Linked DNA regions of Caenorhabditis elegans. The protein of the gene in region 2 interacts with the protein of the main gene of each other region in a pairwise test. Each region holds a gene or a part of one and is shown on either strand. Other genes may lie near its edges. The genes, in order: mtl-1 and C02B10.6.

Region 1 (2,955 bases), on a different chromosome or scaffold from region 2:
CGTTTCAAGCGATTGTCCAACTATGAATTGACGGAATAATTGGGGACCGGAAAACTGTAAAACAACTTTTAAAAGCTCTTAAAAACGAACATTTTTTTAAACATTTTAATTTTCTTTGAAAAAACGGAACTCAGACTTTTCAACCATTTATCAAAAAAAAAGATTTGTGCTGTGTTTTTTTCGAAACTTATCGTGCTCTTTTTCGAATTTTTCGCTAGGTTCTTTTTATCTTATAAAAAAACTGTCTATTGTTGATAATTCTAATATATGAATTTATAATATAATAATACAATGAATAATCTTGCATAATTAGAACTTGATTCACTGAAAGTTATACCTAATACTTATAGGACTGTCAGATCTTGCCCAATAATCATCTTGTATTTAAATTTGGCAAAAGTTTAGTAATACTTTAAGGATTTCGCCAAATCTCATCACAAATCTGACCAAAACCTTTATTATGTCAGTTTAATCTTGAGTAAGAGTTTGGCAAGAGTTGGATAAAACTTCGGTTAAACGTAGGCACAACCTGAGGCAGTTTTTTTAACTTTGAAAATTTTGCCTTTAAAGAAGTTGCTCGTAATCTTTAACGAAATGTATTTATTTATAAGAAAGTTGTCTGAAAGCATAAACTTTCATCACATGCATTTATCCTGATTCAATTAAATTATAATTTTTTGATTTGGCAGATACAAGTAATATACACATTTATTAGTTTACATAAATCTCGGAGGTAATTACAATTTAGTAGGATGTTCACAGTTTAGTAGGAATTGTGGTATTTTCAGATTCAACTCTGAAACATTTTAATGAGCCGCAGCAGTTCCCTGGTGTTGATGGGTCTTGTCTCCGCACTGCTTCTGCTCTGCACAATGACAGTTTGCACACTTGCAGTCTCCCTTACATCCAGCTGGACAGCATTTTTTCTCACTGGCCTCCTCACAGCAGTACTTCTCACAACACTTGTCTCCACTGCATTCACATTTGTCTCCGCACTTGCATTGCTTGTTTTTGCAGTCTGGAAAAGTTTTGACTTTAAGAAAAATTTAGAAAGCTTGTTGATTTGCCTGCTATTCTCAAAACCATTTTAAACGTGTCACAATTGTTTTTGAAATCTATAAAGTATAGATTAACTCACCACACTTGCAAGCCATGATTTCTTAATTTCAGCAGTCAAATTGAGCTGCCTTCTTCTTTTTCTCACTGCCTTTTTATTTGGTTTTTGCTGGCTGTTTACCACTTCAAATATGTGATAAAAGAGGGTGGCCCTGTCACAATGTACAAACTTATGATACTAAAAGAATAGAGATATAGAAGAGACCCAAAACAATAACAGATAGTTGATTGTGAGTTTGCTCATTGATCTTGAGCACTCTAATCCTTTGCACAATTTTTTGTTTGTTTTTAGAACGTTTTTAGAGAGACTCCGTTCTAGTATACGATTCAGTCACAGCTCTAGTTTCTGATTTTATCAGTTATTGACAAGGTGTTTGCAACATTCACGTACCATTGATGTGACGTTTTTAGCACAACATTCATTTAAACACGTGTGTTCGTTCCAAAAAGAATTAGAAAAATATTGTTTTATTTCAATTGACAAGATTGATAAGCGAAAGAATTATAGATCGACAATAATTTAGTAGTAGACGTGGGAAAAGTTCACTTGCTCATTGGTTATTTCTTTTGCTCAGTCTTCTCGGTTTTTCCTTCACAGCACGATTTTTTCTCTTCCTCGCAGCAACATTTTTCGACGGTACACTTACACGTTTCTCCACAGGAGCAATTCTTGCAGGCTAAAATAAAAATAGCTAAAAGATGTTTCCAGTTTTAACAATTTTTACAACCTTGTTTTTTTTTTGAAAAAAAAATCTATTTTTAAAACTTAAAATTAAATCTTGAAAATAATAAATCAAGAATTAAAATGTTCAATTCCAAGTTAAAAATTCTGATGTCACCAATCATATGAGAGACCATATTAACAACAAGGTGACGTCTGAAACATCTAACTTTTTTTACCTGATTTTCAAAATTTATTTCTCAGAGTTCTTTTTTTTTAACTGGACATATAATGTGAAAAATAAAAGAAATTAGGCAAATGCTCTTTTACTACCTCATCTTTTACTACGTTGCTCTTTTACTACGGTTTACTCTTTTACTACGGCCGTATTTTTTACTACGTTTTCCAATTTCGATGCGAAAAATAATTTCGAAAAAAATTCAGATTGTATTTATTACTGGAAAATACAAGATTGGGGTCGTTTTTCAGAAACAAATTTTGGGCCTAATTTTTTTTTTGAAAATAGCTTATTCGAGGAATCGCCGAAGTTCCCGACCTGCTATTAAGTGGAATTTGTAGAATGTTTAAAAATACACTCGAAAAAGTAGTTTTCAAGATAAATTTATCTTTTATCGATAAATTTCAGGTCAAGGGAATGTTTTCACTGGACAACAACGTTTATAAACAGGATATTATTTACAGGCACATTTTTTTCCAGTAGAAATAACTACAAAAAGGGCCATTTAGTTGTTGATAAGGAGAGTTAACAAAGTTTTCAGAACTAAATATCTGAAAAAGTAATGGAAGCTTCCTACTTCGTACAGCTCGGTTGGTTTCACATATACCTTGGAACCGCGGCCGCCACTCGCCTGTTTGGAGAAGTGGTAAAGCGCGCGCTCTTCAGTAGAGTCATTGCTGGTTCGAATCTGGATCCATTCAGATTTTTTTTTCAAATAGTTTGCACGGGAAAAGTGTTCCTTATCTTAAGCTTACAAGTTTGCGATTGATCAATTTTTCACATTCCCTCTGCCCGAAAAGATATGTGAGTATATAGAGCCCTACTTGCCGAGTTTCTTAATATTATGCCAAATTACAAAGTTGACATGAATGTTTTCAAAAACAACAGGTTTAGAATTTTTCTACAATAACTGATTAGTGCTTAATAAAGTTTCAAAATA
Region 2 (3,931 bases):
ATCTTCTTCCCCAAACTTCACACTTTATAAAGGTGTCTACATGGTCGGCAAGATAATAGAAAATGCTAAGTGATAGGAAAATCAAAACGAATATTGTTCCATCTTTTTGAAAAAATCGCTCAGATCAAAAATAGCAACTAAACAGAAAAAAAAGAAAAAAAATTGAATGAAAACCCAACAGTTTTTAATTATCTTGCGTTATTTTTTTAAATTCAAATTTTACTGTTTCAGGAAAATGTTATCGGTAAATGAAATTTAGAATAAAACTATTCACACGGCGACTATTTTGACCTAACAGAGCATGTAGTTGTAATTGAGATCATGGACGGCGGCGTGGATTTCGGAAGAAAAAAAGAAAAACTTCATAGAGCAACAAATTCAAAAATCAGGCGCCTTGAGTTTGTAGGCATTGTCCATGTGATCAGTTTAAGTGCTTATTTATTTGATTTGAATGAAAACCGAGAGAAAACACATTTTCAGTTGAAAATTAGGAAGAAAAAGGAGGAAAAATATGTTTTTTGGACTTTAAAACGCAACTAGACTGTTTATGGAAAATTTTCAATTTTTCCCATAAAAAGTAAAATTAAGGTTGTTGGAGAAGCAATGGTTGTGCGGCACTCCTTATCTAAATATTCCTAATGCCAAATGTCCGGTTTAATACTTTCTCGACTCTCAAAAACCGCAGAAAATATTACCAAATAACGTATCTATTTCTTGTCCAGATCTGATGGCTACTTGATACTTTGGATAATCTCAAAAACTAACACATTTTATCAATACAAAACATTTATTTCAAATCTAAGTTCAATTATTGTCCAACCGCTGCATTGTAATCCTTGATAAACTTGTCGTACTTGGCCACATTTTCCGCTGTCAGCAAAGCCGCATACTTTTCCTTGTACTTCTCGAGGAAGTAGTTGAGCATGACACGGTGAATGAAGAGGTACTGGACATCGTTCTGGATTGAGAAGGCCCTTTGATCACGGAGTGCCTTCACAAGCTCAGGCATCGGAGGGCACGGCTTGTTCTCGGCGATCTTCTCTGAAATTATAGAAATTTTTATTAAAAACTAACATTGTTCAAAACTCACCAAGAATGTATTCGATGGCGACGATGGTCCCGGTACGCCCAATCCCGGCAGAACAGTGCACGACGATTGGAACCTTGGATCCGCGGATTGCGGAAAGCAGCTCCAAGCTTGTTAGCTTACAAGGTGGGACTCCACGATCCGGCCACTCAGTCCATTGAAGATGACGAACGGACATCGTCTGACCACCACTATAAGTAAGGTTGAGCATAGTGATCTGAATCTCCGGGTCCCTCTCCATTGGCTTCGAGCCCGACACGTTCTCCACGACACAACCACTCTTCAGAGTAAGCTTTTCGCCTTGAGCAGCTGGCCAGTACTGAGCGCATTTGAGCTTTCCCATCTCGACGGTCTTGCAAAGCATGACAATCTGCTCGACCTTGTTTTGAATGACCATCCACCAGAATTCATCGATCGTTTGGTCAAGTGGTCCCTGGGCGCAGATGAAACGCTTTTCTGGGATCATGGGGCATCCGACGTAGTTTGCATGGATGTAGTTGCACGGAGATGGTTGATCCAGCTTTACCGCACTTTGGTCTTGGCACGGGACATCTTGGTAACTGAAAAAGTGTGTTCATGATTGACTTGTAAAGTGTGAAAAAAAACAACTTACCGATTCTTCGTGATGGCAATGTCCGGAGACTGATTGGCATTGAACATGACCTGAGTCATGTCGGGTCTCGTGTATTTTGCCAATCCACGGAATTCCTCACGAAGCTTGTCAACTCCAACATCCAGTGCTCTGAGCACCCACTGCTCGACAATCGGATGGGTCTGTGGTGGAGCAGGTGTCATGTTGGTTTTGTTTGTCGGATCACCTTTGGCCGCTTCACCGTCATCCTTCTTTTTCTCCTTCTTCACACGCTTCGAGCCCTCCGTCGCCGTATTCTTCTTCTTCGTATCGGCCTTCTTCCCCTTATCCTTCTTCCCGAAAACTGCCCCAGCTTGGGCTCTTGGTGGCTCCGATGATTCCGAAGAATCGCTCAGCATTTGTCCGCAATTATTGTTTGCAACGTTCATCGCTTCAGTTGATTAGCTTGCTAAACAATTGCTGCTTGATTGAGAACTGATGATTTGTGAACAATTTCACATTATTTATACGAAGCTTCTTATCTGATCGATGACGTGGCATGAGGGGGGGGGGGGGGGGGCACGTGAGGTTATGAACTTTTGAGAAATGAAACTCTTATTTTATATTTGAAAAAAAAAATAGGAAAAATTCAAACATAATTAATATTACACATAATTAACATAAAATTATATCTAAGCGATTTCTCTTTATTTTTGTCTTTAAAATTGGTCATTGAGATGTCGGTGTTTTACTTAAAATTTCTCCTAAAAGACAAAAACAAACAAAACAACTATTTAGATAATAAGAGAGACAAAATATTTTTACATATTTTGAAAAAAAAAAGAAATAAAAAATGCAGGTACAGCAATGTTAGAGACAAAAGTATGCGCCCAGTTTTCGGACGGTGGTTTTAAATTTGCAACATGCGGAACGGGAGATGCTAGTTCCAAATTTATTATAGGAGACAAGCCTAGAGAGATTTATTTTTTGCATAACTTTAAAAATTAATATCTGACTTATAATGAACTTTTTTGAAAATGTTTCGTCGGGGACTTGTTCCAAATTTTAAGGGCTTTCATAATTTAATTACAACATTTTTCTAGGTGCCAGACGCTTCCATTTCAATCAGAAAAACAGAACTTCAGGCATATAAAACATTAGGAGTTGTTTCATATACCTATATTAAGTATTTGGGTCAGACAGACATTAGATACCCCGAAAAATTGCTTCGTATATCTATTGTACATTCTATTACTTCGTCTTTTATTTCTGAAGTACAAGAATGTCAGAGCAATGTATTGATGAATATGGAATAAAATAGTTTTCAGCTATTATAGGTTTCTGTTCAGCAAGTTCAACATTTTCCACGATGTTGGCTATTCCCGAATATTTTGGACATTTGCTACGGAGAGAATATTAAAAATTAAACTAAATATTATAAATTCAAAAGTGGAAAAGGTTATCCATGGGCTCTCCGGAATAATTCGGTTTCTTTGATTGTAAATCCAGTAAACAGATACATTTTTCAAACTTTTTATTCTTTACATTTCTACAATACGAGAACGCATTTGTGGATGCTATTTAAATGTTCTGGCTAGATTTCTCGTGTGGAAACTGAATAAACTTAAAGCTTAGACAACATCTGCTTCGCATCATCGGCAAACTCTTGTTCAGCGTCGGAATACGGTTCGATGTCACACACTTCGGTAAGGTACTTGCGAGCGTTGTTCTGGAATTATCAAAGATTTTTGAGAAGCTTGCATGGGGATAATGTTACACGTATCTATCTTCCGTACCTTGTCTTTAATTGCTACGTAGCATTTGGACACATAAAATGTGTTCTCCATCCATTTTGGATTGACCTTATAAGCAGCAAGGAAATCCTCGTTGGCCTCTTCATAGGAATGTGATGGTGGTTGCTGATAGAACGTGGCAGCAAGCTTCTTCTCAAGCCATGTCAGAGATGCCACCGAGTACTTGTAACGGCCACGCAAATGGAGGAGAGCCGTATCCTTTGGCTCCTTAGCAAGAGCTTTGTCGAGCAATTCCTTGAACTTCTTACTGCATTCCAACTTTTCTTTCGTTGCCATATATTCGGTTGCTTGTCCAGTCAACACAGCATTCCACTTCAGCGCCTTGAAATGGTTTGGATCCTTCTGGACAGCTTCTTCAGCAAACTTGAGTCCTTCGGTGACACTTGCCTTACGTTGAGCTTTTGGAACACATGCAGACTTCTCATGAATTACTTGAGCAAGTCTCCACAAGACTTCCAC

The links.
Region 1: the proteins of C02B10.6 (region 2) and mtl-1 interact in a two-hybrid assay, tested with the Caenorhabditis elegans proteins (one large-scale study listed by BioGRID).

The regions. Positions count from the first base shown.
Region 1 is NC_003283.11:6,690,679-6,693,633, forward strand, and holds mtl-1 (Metallothionein-1), read right to left. Parts: upstream 1,186-2,955; 5' UTR 1,155-1,185; coding exon 1,139-1,154; intron 1,019-1,138; coding exon 807-1,018; 3' UTR 693-806; downstream 1-692. Other genes in the region: W02F12.8 (Metallothionein), read right to left, coding at 1,675-1,793.
Region 2 is NC_003282.8:5,069,107-5,073,037, reverse strand, and holds C02B10.6 (Protein-tyrosine phosphatase), read right to left. Parts: upstream 2,146-3,931; 5' UTR 2,108-2,145; coding exon 1,701-2,107; intron 1,648-1,700; coding exon 1,091-1,647; intron 1,042-1,090; coding exon 809-1,041; 3' UTR 775-808; downstream 1-774. Other genes in the region: rmd-6 (Regulator of microtubule dynamics protein 1), read right to left, coding at 3,283-3,387, 3,455-3,931.